Sus scrofa: one gene and its partner. The protein of the gene in region 1 purifies or fractionates together with the protein of each later gene. This does not show direct contact. Links are inferred from orthologs where the notes say so. Each region holds a gene or a part of one and is shown on either strand. Other genes may lie near its edges.

Region 1 (7,955 bases):
TCCCAAAACTCAAATGGGATTAAGGCTGAAGACCAGCAATCACAGACGGGCGGGGCTCCAACAGCACTGCCAAAGTTGTTTAATTTGTTGCTAATATTTTTTGAACTGGTAAGTATTAGTGGAACTCCCACTAAAGAAATGGAATTCATGGCTTCTCTAGAAAAATCAGGAGCTCAAACCACACTCAGTTGGATATGGGCAGTGGCTGCCTGTCAGGTGGCCTGGACCCTCCTGGGCACTCCCAGATGCCCAAACAGCATAATGCAGAATGGAGATAAGGGCCCACTGAGAGACTCCTTCTAAACGTCTACAGGGATGTCCTGTTTGGGAGGTGACAGGGAAGGCTGAGAAGTGGGGTCCGTGAACCTCTTTGGAGGAGTCTGGGGGGTCTATGGCTACCACCCCAAGAATCCTTCACTCCTGACCTACCCCAATACCCCAACCCAGCCTCTGAGGATATCTGAATCTGGGGACCCTGGACAAAGCCCAGCACAGCTCTGGCCCTAAAGCCTGGGGTGAATTCTGGAACCGAGCAGACTCTACTTTGACCCAACTCAATGTGTGAACAGTCAGATAGGTACCAGACTCATTTGGGGAGCCCCTAGAAGGGCCTACTACGGCATGGCTACCAAGAAGGGCTGGAAGGATTCGTGGGGGGTCTGGCCCACCCCCAGTCCTTTTTTTTTTTTTCCTTTTTAGGGCTGCACCTGCGGTATATGGAAGTTCCCAGGCTGGGGGTCGAAGACATGCAGCTATCGCCCTACAACACAGCCACATTGGATCCAAGCTGCATCTGCGACCTAAGCCACAGCTTGTGGCAATGCTGGAACCTTAACCCACTGAGTGGAGCCAGGGATCAAACCCGCATCCTCATGGCTACTAGTTGGGTTCTTACCCTGCTGAGTCACAGTGGGAACTCCCACCCACACTCCTGGAGTCTGTCACCCCTCACCTCCAGGGACAGCCCCTCAGCTGTTTTCTATCCCAGGACTTCTCCACCCCCAGCCCTCTCAAGACTCAGTCTAATCCTCTGTCTCCCCAAAGCCACTTCCCACTTCAGCCTCAGCTCAAGCTCGCCCACCCCCAAGCCCTATACCCCAGTACCTCCCCTTGCGGTAGCCCCAGGTCCCCAGAGTCCAGGTCAAAGCCCAGCCAAGCCTGGAATCCCTTGGTCCTATTCTCCAAGAGGCTGACACGTGTCCCTCCTCCCCATTGTGAGGGCACTTCCCAAGGGCAGGGCCCCAGCTTCGCCTTAGGATGCCCCCGGGGCCTTAGCCAAGCCAGGCAGGCCTGCCGACCACAGAGGAAGGTGAGTGGCACTAGCCACATGGGTCAGTGCCTGTCCTAAGTCATCCCCTGCCCCCACGCCCCACCCAGCCCAGCCTCCCAATCGGCCCTGCTGATACCTTCGGAGCCTCTGTGAGGCGGGGAGGACCCTGGGCAGGGCTCTCTGTGCTCCCTCCCTAGCTTTCGCTTCCGGCTCTGTACAACAGGCATAATGACGGTGGCTCCCCCCGACTCTCCGACACGGCATCTCCCATTCCCAGATGGAAAACTGAGGTCCTGAGGGGGCTAAAGACCCACATCCCCCCACCTCCCAGAGAAGCAGCTGGGCCCAGCCACCAGCCTGTGCCCTCGCCCGTAGGAGGCACTCACCGTCCTCAATGACGACTTTGATGAGCCGCACAGAGCCAGCCCGTGCCTTGGCAAAGAACTCCTTCAGCTCTTCGGTGGCTACAAGAACAAGAAACATGGTGGGGGAGGAGCAGGCAGAGGGAATGGGCAGAGACACTCAGGGCCTGCTCCGTCCTGGGGGGTCTGGTGGTGGAGCTGGGAGCCGGGTTAAATACGGCCCCCCATGTGACTGGGAACCCGAGACAGCCGCTGAACACAAGCTCCCAAATTTAGCCAACAGAGGTGGCAGGCGGGCGGCCTGCTGGCTGTGAGAGCTCCGTTGACAGGGCATGCAGGGGTGGGACGGCCCACTCGAGAATGGGGGCGGGCTCTGGGACAGGCCAAACCAGCCAGAGTGAATGGCCCCCACCTATCTCCTGCCCCCCAGGAAAGCCCAGCACTGAGCTGGCCTGGGACCTTCCCAAGACTGTCACATCCACAGAGAGAAATACATGAACAACTGCCCCCAATGTGCACTGATTACTGTGTCTGTCTACACATGCCCATGCAAACACACACACATGCACACATGCAATGCACATTGCATGTGCCAATAGGTACATACCAATCCAGCATATGCGAATGTTACACATAAACACTATGCGACAGAAAGAGGAACAGAAACGCAAACACTCTCAGCTGGTCAAACAGAAATGGACACACACATTTAGATGTACGAATGGACACACACATTTAGATGTACGAATGTACACACACACAGATACAGTCCCCAGGGTGCTAGGAAATTCGCAGACAGGCAAATGCAGAGTGTGACTGACATATGTGTGCAAGAGAGAAGCTGTACAAAATGTACCCAAAAAAACAGAGGTACACACTGACACATGCATGCATGCATACCCAGCCCCAGCCCACCAGCCAGGCTGCCTAACCCTGAGAGGCCCTGAGGAGGCAGGCCAACCCTGGCTCAGCCCCACCAGGGGGTGATAAGCCCCTACCCCCGGCAGCTGGGAAGAGGAATGGCTCTTGGAGACTCTCCAAAACAGTCCCTGTCTTGGTCCCTGAGCCACAGAGCTGGAAGGTGATGGCCAATGAATAGGGACCCAGGTACAGAGGTGAGGATTGTGGTCAGAACTAGGGAACCACAGAAGTCACAGATTCACTGATGGTTCAGATGAGGAAACCAAGGTCTAAGTTGGGAAGGGCCCTGCTTGGGCCTCTGGGTGCACAGGACCAGGCCAGCATGACCTTGGGGCTGCCCAGGGGTCAGGAGAATTCTGCAGGAGCACAGCTGGAGGGCTGAGGTCAGAGAATATTTATAGGGCCCAGACTGGGCAGCTTGGGTGTGGCGGGGGCGGGGGGACCTTTAGGAAAACAAACTCTGGTCATGTCCTCGGGTGGCCTGCATGAAGGGTGACCCTGAGCCTGAGACCTCAGGCTGTATACAAGCCTCCAAGGCTGCTGGGAGGGCAGGGTCCCAGCTAAGTTCAGCAGGCCCTTGGGGCTCAGAGCAGCCTGGCATGGACACAGCCCCAGTGGGCCAGGACAGAGCTGCTCCTCTGTGGACCCCAAGCTGGTCCATGATGAAGAGCCTGGATTCTGGGGCTCCACCTTTCCGGTAGCTGTGTGTGACCTCTGACCTCACTGAACCTCAAACCCATCTATAACACGGGGCTAATACTCCCCAAATGCTGAGGAGTAAATAGGAGACAGTGCTCCGCAACGGGGGCCTCTCCTAATAATAATCATTAACTTGTGTTACTGTAATGACGCGGGGCAGGCTGTGCTGAGCTGTTCCTTCCACCTGCTCAGACCTACTGCTTCTATTGTTACCAGGACAAACTGACACCCCAGTAGTGGGAGAGACATCCCCCTCCATGCCTCCTCAGCCACCATCAATAATCCAGAGGCCAGGCCTGGGATACCTGAGCCTCAATCATCAAAGATTCATGCCCCCCCTACTCTCACCCACTTGCTGCCTTACCCCCCACCCCTCCACCCAGTAAGCCTCAGGTTACAGGTCCCTCCCCTGCCCTGCTCTGAGGTCAGCAGATCCACACTTATAGCCAGGTCAGGGCTGGCACCTGGGCATCCAGGGTGATTTCTCCTGCCACCTCCCCAGGCCAGAAATGGAAAGGAGTGGGCTGCCCTCACACAGAAGGAGGGCTGGGAAAGGGGTTCAGCCCCCAGATTCCCCTAGGCAGGCTCATCTCAGCATATGGGAAATGAGGGAGTGAGGGAGGGCCCAGGCCACAGGACTGGTCAGCCCAGAGAGGGGAGGAGGAGCCCTAACTTCTGATCCCCTCCCAGTTAGAGGTGACAGCAACGATCAGACAAAGGGGAAGGAAGGGGCAGGTCCAGTGAGGGGCTGTTCCCTTCTGTGGGGCTGAGTCATGAAGCTGCCCCTCCAGCTCTTCTTGGAGAGTAGCTGGCCCAGACCCAGACCTCTGCCTTTTCTGGTCCTGTGGGCGGGGCCAGGGAAACCCTCTCAGGGCCAGCCACCAAGCGGCCACAACCGCAAGCAGACCAGGTGGTCAGGCTGGTCGATGATGATGGCCCCAGGCAGAGGATCCTGGCGTGGTAGGAGGAATGGCTGAAGGCCAAACCACTGGGCTACCTGGGTAAGCAGCCTGGGCCTTCCCCACAGGCCAGGTAGCCCTCCCAGGTCAGTGACACAGGGGGACATTGAGGCCTGGGTAGGGTCAGAACACCTGGCCCCTGGTCATTGCTTCTTTCCCATCCTGTATAAGGAGGAAACCAAGCCATTTGGGAGAGGAGGCTGATGCTCTGGGCTGAAGGAGGACCTGGCCTGGAATCTCTAGGGTCAGGAGCCTCTTTCCTACCTCCAGCCTGGAGCTGGGACCTTCCAATACCAGCTGGGGCAGACTCAGGAGATCAGAGGTCAAGGTCAGATTGGTGACTCTCCACATCCCATTTAGTTTTTCCCAGGCTGGTTTGTGAGGGTCCTGGGAGGAGCCAAAGGTCGGGGCTCCCTTCTCACACAGACATAAAGCAGTACAAACCAAACACCCATCCATGGTAACAAATGAACACTGAGATGCACTCAAATTGTGCGTGCACACACACACACAGACTCCCACAGACATGTGCATACAGTCACGAAACACTGATGTCTAAAGATGGTTCCATGCAACAGTGTCCAATCAAGACATTGCTGTATGTGCACGAATGACCCTAGATGTACACAAGCAGTCATATCCAGATGTGCACACAGGTCCGTACATACAAGTGCACATGCGTGCTCACTCCCTCAGATGTGCACATCCGGGTACACCCACTCCCAGAAAGGGACAAAAATACATAGATAGGCACACACAGGCACATCCACCCCCGGATGGGAACAGAGATACCTTCACCCCCAACTATGCCCAGTAAGTCCGCACCCCACTAAGATTTGCCCACCCCAGGCGACCCACGGCTGCAAGAGAACAGGAAGCTTCCCTAGGCTGGTGCCGGATCGGAAACAGGGGCCGGGAGCCCAGGAGGGGGCGCAGCCTCAGACTCTCCCTCGGCCCCCCGTCCGTCCGCCATCTGCCCTCACCGTGGATGCCGGTCTGGTGCGCCATGGCTCCGTGCCCCGCTCCGCCTGCGCCCTCAGAGCCCTCGGCTCGGCCACGACCCAGCTCGGCTCGTCTGGACCGGGAGGAGGAGAAGGAGGAGGAGGATGTGGCGGTAGCCTCCCAGCCTCGCGCAGCTTCCCGGGCGGTGCCGCAGGACCCGCCCCCAGAGCGCCCCGCCTCCGACGGGCGAGGCCGGGACTCGAGGCCGCGCGTGCGTGCAGTAGGCGCCTGGCTCCAGGTGGGCCCAGGGAGGAGCTTTGAGTGGTGTTTCCGCGCGCTTGCGCTTGCCTTGTTTCTGGCGGAGAATGCGATCTGCGTACCGCCTAGCATGTGTGGGCGCATGCACGTGTGTGTCAGTACACCCGGATCCGAGTGGTCTGTGGCTGGGGCGTATCCATATGAGCGCGCGCAAGCCTGAGTCCCGGTCAGGGGCCAGGTGGGTTTGCAGATGGGTAGCATCCTGGCGTGGCCTTGAAGCGGGGAAGGGGTTTTTCTGTGTGTGAATGGGCACCCGTGTGTTTGTGTGACATCTCTTTCCTTGGAGACGTTTCTTGGGCGGCTCCTGTGGCCCTGGGCACCTGGAGGCGACGCGCCTGAAGGCCCCGTCCTGACGGTGGGAGCCCAAACTGACTTTCTGCTAGACAGCCCGCAAATGAACAGTGTCTGTGGTGGCGAGTGCCCTGTGCAGAGGGTAAGGGGCCGTTAGGAGGAGGTGAAATTTGAGTGGAAACCTGGAGGAAAGCCTGGCAGAGGGGTGGGGAAAGTCTTCTGAAAAGAGGAGACTGCAGAATTCCCTTCGCGACGCAGGAGAAACGAATCCAACTAGGAACCATGAGGTTGCAGGTTTGATCCCTGGCCTCACTCAGTGGGTTAAGGATTCGGCATTTCTGTGAGCTGTGGTGTAGGTCCCAGACGCGGCTCGGATGTGGCGTTGCTGTGGCTGTGGTGTAGGCCAGCAGCTGTAGCTCCATTAAGACCCCTAGCCTGGGAACCTCCATATGCCTGCGCCATGGGTGCGGCCCTGAAAAAAAAAAATTCCTTGGAAATAGGAATTAACCAAGAAAACACATTAACTAAAACTAATAAGGTTATGTTCTCTATTCTAATGTCCATCACTGGATAAATTACACGACTACCTTAATTGCAAAGTCCTCCCTCCTACCTGGTTGGCCCCACTCTGCATCATTCTCTTTGTTTTTATCCCTGCCTGGCACATATATTTACTCGCTTATTTGTTTATTGTCTTCCCTCCACCAGTTTAAGTTTTTACCCCTGCTGTATCTCCAGCAGCTAGAACAGTGCCCAGGATTAGTAGGTGTTCAGTAATATTTTCCAAATTAGAAGTTCCCATCGTGGCGCAGTGGAAATGAATCTGACTAGGAACCATGAGGTTGCAGGTTCACTTCCTGGCCTCGCTCAGTGGGTTAAGGATCTGGCATTTCTGTGAGCTGTGGTGTAGGTTACAGACATGGCTCAGACGTGGCACTGCTGTGGCTGTGGTAAAGGCCAGCAGCTGTAGCTCCAGTTCGACCCCTAGTATGGGAACCTCCATATTGCCATGGGTGCAGCCCTAAAAAGCAAAAAAAAAAAAAAATATATATATATATATATATATTTGCCAAATTAAAACAATGTCTGAATGAACTATTAGAATCTTTGTGTTGCACACTTACTATGGCTGGACACGTTTATTCAGTCCTTATGAAAGTCCTGTAATGTATGTGTTGTTACATACATTACAGAAGAAATTTGAGGTTCAGAAAGATAAAGTGATTTGATCAAAGTCACAAGGTAGTGAGTATCCCCAAGAACCTTAGTTTCCTTAACTTAGGGAACGGGAACAGATCTACAGCAGAAATTGAAAAAACACTGTAAATCAACTATACTGTAATGAAAAAGAAAGAAAGGAAAAGAGAAAAAGGAACAAACGATGAGAAGCCCTGCTGGGCAGTGGCCCTCATTGCTTCCATCACTATCTCACACCTCAGTGATGAGGGTTTAACCAGAGAAAGGAACTTCCTGGAAGCTGGGGTTGGAGCCCAGTTCTGCTCAGCTTCAAAACCAAGGATGCAGTGAGGAGCACAAGGGCCAGCAGACTCCATCTCTGGCTGAGATCCGGTTTTAGGCAGAAAGATAAGAAAGCTGCATGCAGCTCCTCGAATGAGTCCAGGGATGATCAGAGTGTCTAGGAACAGGTAGGTTGCTCCTTTCTTTTCTTTTCTTTTTTTTTTCTTTTGCCTTTTCTAGGGCCGCTCCTGTGGCATATGGAGGTTCCCAGGCTAGGGGTCTAATCGGAGCTGTAGCCAACAGCCTATGCCGCAGCCAACAGCCTATGCCGCAGCCACAGCAACACGGGATCCGAGCCATGTCTGCAACCTACACCACAGGTCACGGCAACGGCAGATTCTTAACCCACTGAGTGAGGCCAGGTACTGAACCTGCAACCTCATGGTTCCTAGTCGGATTCGTTAACCACTGAGCCATGACAGGAACTCCAGCTTTCTCTTTTCTTGCTGTTTCTCCACACAAAGTCAGCCACTGAAATAGTTTTTTTATCAGGTGTATCAAGGATTTAAATGTGCTTTTTTAAAACAGTGAACTATTAAAATTCTGAAGAAACAAAGGGAGAAGATTGTAAAATCTTGGAGTGGAGACGTCCTTCTGAGTATGTCACCAAGCCCAAAAATCATAAAAAAAAAGAAACCAACAAATTAATTTACATTAAAAATTAAAAGTCTTGGA
Region 2 (7,379 bases), on another chromosome or scaffold:
CTGGGTTTATTCTCAGGGAGAGATGGCGCTGTGCGGTGGTGATGCGAGTTGTCACTGACCTGTCGGGGAGGGGAGGTTCGAGGGAGGGAGCAGAAAACAAGTTTCTAAGAAAGGAATCTAAGGAGCGCACGGCGGGCGTGTCCGGTTAGTGGGAAGCAGAGGCTTAACACTGCTGCTTTCTCTTCAAAGCCTCCACCAGGTCGTTCTTAAGAGCTTCTTGTTTTGATTTGTCTGCAAAAGTCTGCACAGACCTGCCCGGGAGGAAAAGAACTGGCATGAGCAGGCGGAACACGACCAGTGTGGGCCTGGGATCTTCTCCAGGAGCAGGAGCGCAGGCCTGCAGAGGGGCCGGAGCCCAGAGCCCAGAGCCCAGGCCTGCCCCTCGGCACCTCGCCGGGGCCCTGTGGGGAGGCCACAGCCTCGCCTCTGCACCAGGCTGGGGTGACCCGGACTCAGCACAGGCCCCAGGAGCAGCCTGAACCAGAGATGGCTTCTGGCTTCCAAGCATGACGCAGCCAAGACCCTCTGTGCTTCAGAGCGCTGTGGCCGCAAGGACCCTACCACGGAGCAGGGCGGCTCGCTGCTCACCCCGCGGGTGTCCGAGAACCAGCAGCTCGGGCACCTGAGCCCACCACGCTCAAGGCCAGGGCAGGACCTGCAGGGCAGGCACTTCCCGGCTTCTGCTGGGGCACCATCAGCTGTTCACCTGGCCAGGAAAATCCCTCAGCCTGAATTTTAAGAAGCAGGACAGGACTGAGGTAAGTGGCCCTGGCTCGCTGCTGCCAAATCCTGGATTTGTGGGTAAGTGTTCACGTGCGAGCCCTTACACGTGGGTTCGGCAAAGCGAACACAACTAAGCTCTACAGAGGTTGTACAATTCACAGAGTGCTTGACACGCACATTCTCACAAGTGTCCTGGAAAGGTCTGGGCGTTATTCCCAATGTACAGATGAAGAAACTGAGGCTCAGAGACATGCCCCAGCAAGGACCAGAATGATCACTTTATCAAATGTACCCAATGTGTGGGTGAACCAGGAATACTAACTATTTACAAACTTTCTACCAGTTCCAAGTCAGTGGAAGGAGAGAGTGGGAGGCTGCCTTGCAGGGATGCTGTGGAGCCAGCGGACTCAAGTTGACAGCACTGGCCGTGAGAGAGCACGGGAAGGTGGGACCAAAAACAAATCCCCCAGCGCTGAACACGCAGGAAGTACAATGACGAAGGGCCCGGTGGGAACAAGAGCGTCCCACGTGGGATTCTGGCTCCTGAATCCTAGAAGCATCCCGGGTAGTGCCCTCAGAATGGTAGAGGGTGGCAAACACAAGATTTTGTGCAACTAAAAAATTGGTTGATGCTGCTGAAATACACATTTCTGAGTATTTGCACTGCTCTGGTGGTCAAAGAAGGGCTCAGACACCAGCCCTAGCGGCCCTCAGGCTCCAAACCTCAGCTCGCCTGCCACAGGCTTCTGGGAAGTTCCCCGTGGGAGGTTAACACGCCCTATGGGAGGATACAGTGGGCGAGCCGGAGGCTCATCTGGCTCCAGGGCCACAGGGGGGGAGGTTGGCTCTTCTGGGAAGGAGCACGTCAGGTCTGGGCTGTTCCTTGCCCCCACCCCCGCCCCTCCCCCCAAGGAGACATTTCCAGAGTTAGAATCAGGTGAGAGACAAGAGGTTAGGCTTGGAACAGCTGGAGGTATAAGGAGCAGAGCACTCGCATGGGGGACCGAGCTCAGGAAGGCCACGGCAAAAGCAACCCGGAACCAATGCCCAGAGGACGCGCTGACCTGTGTGGGAAGGGAGCACCTGTCCTAGACAGTGGGTGCCAGGCTGCCCACTGCTGGGGGGTGGGGGGGTGTCTATGCTGAAAAGTCTCCAGTGGGCAGTCACTGAACTGGCCAAGGCAAGGGATCCAGAAGATTCCAGACCCACCCTAAAAGCTGAGGAGCTGGAGAGAAAACTATGCTATAGCGAATGCCTTAAAAGGGGGTTTCTTCCTGCTGTGATGGGAAGGGGACGTCCCAGCATGAGCACCCCAGGCTGAAGCTGGCACACACACAGACCTACGCACGCAGAGCAGCAGCTCTCCTTGGCCACACAAGGGCCCCCAGCCCCACCCACCCCAGAAACCCCACTGAGCCTCTTCTGGGTCGGGGCCTCCTTGTCCAGCCCTGGGCCTGAGAGGCAGCCCCTAACCCCAGGCTCTGCAGCCCCGCCTGGCTGGGTTCCCAAACGCCTTCTATTAAGACCAGTTCCCTCCTCTCCAGGGAGGCCGACTGCCTTCCTGCGTCTGTATCTGTCACAGGCTCAAGCCACGGTTCTTGGCCATAGTCAACAAGCAAGAGGACTTTCCTTTCCATCAGCGTAAGGCATCTCGGAGGACAGCTGCAGCTCTCTAGGTGCGGAGGGTTATACTGGTCCTGGCGGCTCTGGGAGCACCCAGTCTGGGGGTGACCAGGCCCAACTGGGGGATGACAGCCCCACTGTGCTCTGTCCTCAGACTTGGGGCAATAGGCCCCCTTTAAGTCGGCTAGCCCCGGTCAATCTCCCAGTGACAAGGGGCCTAATGGGCTTCTGGGATCCCGGACTGAAAAGCTGGCAAGGCACTGGGTGCACACACAGCAGATTCAGAGGTCGCCCGAAGCCGCCGGCTGAGCGAAGGCAGGGTGCAGACCCCCGCTCTGCGCCAATCACGGCAGCACAGGCAGGTGGCTTGTGCTTGAGGCCAAGGCAACCCCCAGGCTGGCATCTTGAGGAGCTAAAGCCCAGGCGGCCCCGTCCATGCCCCCAGAGTGCAAAGCACACACACCACACACGTGATTCGGGTCTGTGTTACGGGGGTCGAGTCTACACATTAACGGGGTTAGTGGTGTTTAAAGGTTCCGGCGGGGTCTCGGCGGGTTGGTGAGTCCTGTTTAGTGGGGCGGGCGCTCAGGCCTCTCAGGCAGGGTACCTGGCGGCTTAGTTATCAGGCTGGATGTGGATCTGGCGCTGTGTCAGCACTTGGGAAAGCTCCCTCTGCAGCTGCTGAAACTTGGGGTTGTCGGGGATAACGTCAACAGATCTACAGAGAGCGTGCAGAGATGAGCGCGGCAAGAAGGGCGCTCGGACCCAGGGGCACAGGGCGGGGCGGCAGCTCAGGGGAAGTATGGGGGATAGAGGGGGCATCCGCTGCACGGTGTGGAGGCCATGGGTGGAGGCCATGGCCGTGGAGCTCTCGCCGGCATTGGTCAGGGTTTTCAGGGACTCAGACCTCTACCCGCCAAGCTCCCTGCGGCCCTCTCTGACTCTCTGGCCATCACCAGAGGACCTGCAGGCTGGCCGGGTGTGTCTGCCGTGGCTGGTGCAGGGACCCCAGGCCAGGAAGCTCAGGGCTCCATGGCCAGGGGAAGGCAAAGCTGCGGGACTCTGGAGTGGAGCAGAGCTGCAGCCAGGCTCCTCTCACCGCCTCCCTTCAGCAGCCCTGCTCCTGGGCGGGCAGAGGGCCATGGACAGGAGTGACCGGTTGAAGGTCACAGAGCTCAGGGTGACAGAGCCTGCAGGAGATCCCAGCCCCCTGACTCCAAAGCTGGTGCTCACTCCGCACAGCAGGCCGCGTTGGGGCTGCCTCCAAGGGGGCTCTGGCCTCCTGCCCTGCCCACGATGACTCTGAGGACCCAGCCAGCCCCCCGAGGGCACAAGATGTGTGGGGAGGGGCGGCCAACAGAGCCCTGAGCTCCAGCCAACCGGCAGCCATAGCACCACTCCCTGCGCCCCTTAGGGTCTGAGTGAAGGGGTCCTCAGGCCGCAGAGCCCAAGGGGCTGGGCAGCTTCTGCAGGTGGGACCCACAGGCCTGGGGACCGAGGAGGTGACTCCCGGGGTGAGGACCCCAGTGCCGGTAAGGGTGATGTGCCCCGTTGCGGCACCGACACCTCCTCAAGAGGCGCTGCTCGATCGTCTAAATCTGCATTGACAGCCCTGTTCTACAAATGAGGAAACTGAGGCCCAAGGCCAGAGAGCTGGTAAGCGCATCTTTTTTGTTCCAAAGCCTGTGCTTCTGGTACATTACCTCAGCCCGTTGACGATGTCCTTCGTCTTTCCAAAGTAGATCTCATTCAGCGTACTTCTGATTTTATTTTCCATGTCCTGGAAAGGGAGCTCAGTCAGACGGGTGGGACCCGTGCCCTCCTTCCCCCCACCTGCATCCCTGCAGTCCCTGCTGTGACCACAGGGTGGGGACGCATGCCTGCGCCAAAGCCAGCGAGGGAGGCTGGCGGCCGAGACCTCGCTTCTAACTCTGGGCGCCTTCCTTTCCTCGGACCCAGGTCCTGGCATTCCTGGGAGCTGGTCTAACCCACATCACCACCCCGAGCCCTGCCGACACCACGAACAAGTCAGTGAAGCTGGAGGGAGCCTCTTCCTCCAGGCGCTGAGGGGAAGGGGAAGCCGAGGCGCCTCCAGAGCCCTGGTGCCCCCAGGACCACCTGCCTTCTTTCCAAGCTCAGGTCTCCCTGTGCGCCCAGTGGACCCAGGGAGACAGGATCTAAGGCTTCTGGAGCATGCGTTTGGGGGGCACTGGAGGGTGTGCCTTCGGAGCTGAGCCCCACAAACAGGCTCCAGGAGCGAAACGCCACACGCCGGGGAGGCGAACCGCGGCTGCAGGGGGCCCACTCACCTCTACCAGGCGCCCGATGTTGGCTATGTGCGGGGAGCAGTCGCTCACAGTCTCATCCTTCTCCATCTGCAAGACACAGAAACACCCCTCCGAGTCAGAGAGCCGGTGAGGGGGGCAGCCTCTGCCGACAGCACGGAGCCCTCACTTCCCGCTGGCTGTCGGGGGCAAGGCTGCTTTGCCAGTGGGGGACCCAAACACGAAATGACTTTCAAGTTTCAGGTCATAAACAGTCCAGCTAGCAGAAGCCCCGAGTCCCCACTTCTGAGCAGAGACTCCTCAGGGGTCTCCGGTGGAGACGAGGGGAGCCGAGGGGACCTTGAATCAGAAAATCTTAATCCAGGTCCCTAGTTATGACGGGGGCAGGCGGAGCCTTAGAGGAGGTAGGACCCAGCGAGTCAGGCAGTCAGTTCTGGCCCAGTGATCCATCCTCTGAATACCGAGAGGAAAGGGGGCAGGGAGAGAAGCAAAGCCCGACAGGAGCGTGGAGGCACGTCGCAGAGCTCGCCACTTCTCCCGTGTCCAAGGCCTGTTCCCTCGCAAGAGGATCCATTCCTTAAGAGCACATGAACCTGAGCTACACCCCACAGGTGCCCAGCAGAGTGCTGAGCGCACGAATGCTGCTACCGAATTGAGTGGAACCATGGCTGCTGTCACCACTGTAACCGAAATAAAATAAAGAAGCTGAAATTAGGTAATCAAGAAGCAGGATGGGAGTTCCCGTCGTGGCGCAGTGGAAATGAATCCAACTAGGAACCATGAGGTTGCAGGTTCAATCCCTGGCCTCGCTCAGTGGGTTAAAGGTCCAGTGTTGCCATGAGCTGTAGTGTAAGTTGCAGACGCGGCTCGGATCCCACGTTGCTGTGGCTCTGGCGTAGGCCGGTGGCTACAGCTCCGATTCAACCCCTAGCCTGGGAATCTCCATATGCCACAGGAGTGGCCCTAGAAAAGGCAAAAAGACAAAAAAAAAAAAAAGGAGCAGGATGAATGGAGCTCCCTGGTGGCTCAGTGAGTTAAGGATCTGGCACTGTCACTTCTGTGGCACAGGTTCGATCCATGGCCCAGAAACAACTTATTGGGGCATATGCAAGTTCCCAGGCTAGGGGGTTGAATCGGTGCTACAGCTACCGGTCTAAACAACAGCCACTGAAAAGCAGGATCCAAGCCACATCTTCAACCTACACTACAGTTCACAACAACGTCCTATCCGTAACCCACTGAGTGAGGCCAGGGATTGACGCTGCATCCTCATGAATCTTAGTCCTTTTGTTTCTGCTGCGCCACAATGGGAGCTCCCCCCGTGCCCCGAAACTTCAGCATGTCACAACCAAGAAAAAAGAAAAAGGAACAGTATGAAAAGAACTGGGTCAGGAAGGCTAGAGCTCAAGTGAATTCCGACCAGTGAAGACGGCAGAGCCAAGGTGAGAGGAGAACTCGCTCCAGAACCTGAAGAGCAGAACAGATGCTTGGGGTGCATGGGGTGTGATCAGAGGCTAAAGGCCTGCTGCTCCTCGCCCATTTTTAACTTCTCTCATCCATCAGGGAGAATGATTTTCAGGCCAGGAAGGGTAGAAGAGACCCAATTAAGAGGGAGAAAAGCCGCCAGCAGACGGCAGGAGAGAACCGAGTCACTTTAAATGATTAAACGTCCAGGGTCAGACAAACCCGATTCTGTGACAGACATTCTTGCAAAATCACAGCACACTTAGAGATGCCAGGACACTGGAGCAGGGCAGAGGCTGGCCCTGCCTTCCTAACGGAAGGAAGATTAGAGTTGGAAGTTAAACACCAGTTTGACACTGATCCAGGTGACAGTTTTTGGATGGGACAGTTAAAAGTCATCTGTTAGCACATTTTGAAATCCGTTATCTCTAAGGGCTAGCACAGGCTCCCCACGAACTCGTTCCACGATGACAATCAATTTCCTCTTGGGAAGGGGATGCTGGGCTGAGGAACAGAGGGTCCCTCTAATGAGATCACACCACTGTGGCAGCTTCCCACCCAAGGTCCTGTGGCCGTGGCAGAGGAGCAGGGCTGGACAATGGTCAGTTCCCAGGGGGGCCTCCTACAGGGATTCTCTGCCTGGCCCTGGGTCCACCTGCTGGCCCAGGACTTAAAAGGAAGACCCAGCTGAAAGGGTTCATGGGATCCTGTTGACAGCATCCCAAGGGTCGAGATGATTGGCAGGGTCACTTATCAGACCCAGAAACAATCCATGTCCCTGCGGGGGGCGGGCAGAGCTGTCTGCAATAGGCGCCTGCTCATAGGGTGATGAGCCCCTGGAGGTGTCTGAGAAGTGGGGTTGTCAAGATGCTACAAGAGGGGTCCAGAGTAGAGTGACAGTCTGGAACCTATGGCCTCGCAAGGCCTTTCCAAAGTCAAGAGACTCGGTCTGAGAACGAAGGTGCCTGGTTCCAGCAAGACTGTTTTGTTAGGTCTGGCCTGATGGGTACAAGGGGAGAGCGGGAGAGACGCCAGAACCATCAGCGGCTCTGCCCGCAGCACTGGGTTCTCTGGGCATAATCCGGGGGTGGGGTAGGGGTTCCTCAAACCTCAAATTCCAGGGGTCCCCACAGAATAGGAGAGGGGAGAGTGCCCACAAACTTTAAAGTAAAAGCCACTCCCCACCATTTTGGGGTGATAAGCACCCATCCTGGGCAGAGCTGTGCGCCCTGAGCTAATCCTGCTGCTTCAATGAGTGGAGCAGGTGCCTGTTAAAGGGCTGGG

What was found. Proteins that work in one complex are often made in the same cells at the same time.
Region 2: the proteins of TWF2 (region 1) and CAPZB purify together in Homo sapiens (co-immunoprecipitation; 3 studies listed by BioGRID and IntAct, with this or other methods). This does not show direct contact. The link is inferred for Sus scrofa from reciprocal best matches to the Homo sapiens genes TWF2 and CAPZB.

The regions. Positions count from the first base shown.
Region 1 is NC_010455.5:34,365,606-34,373,560, forward strand, and holds the start of TWF2 (twinfilin-2), read right to left. Parts: upstream 5,393-7,955; 5' UTR 5,220-5,392; coding exon 5,195-5,219; intron 1,735-5,194; coding exon 1,657-1,734; intron 1-1,656. Other genes in the region: TLR9 (toll-like receptor 9), read right to left, coding at 1,657-1,734, 5,195-5,219. UniProt on the Homo sapiens protein: Actin-binding protein involved in motile and morphological processes. Inhibits actin polymerization, likely by sequestering G-actin. By capping the barbed ends of filaments, it also regulates motility.
Region 2 is NC_010448.4:77,781,269-77,788,647, forward strand, and holds part of CAPZB (F-actin-capping protein subunit beta), read right to left. Parts: intron 4,722-7,379; coding exon 4,656-4,721; intron 4,127-4,655; coding exon 4,050-4,126; intron 3,065-4,049; coding exon of another isoform or gene 2,962-3,064; exon of another isoform or gene 2,954-2,961; intron 252-2,953; coding exon 164-251; 3' UTR 1-163. UniProt on the Homo sapiens protein: F-actin-capping proteins bind in a Ca(2+)-independent manner to the fast growing ends of actin filaments (barbed end) thereby blocking the exchange of subunits at these ends.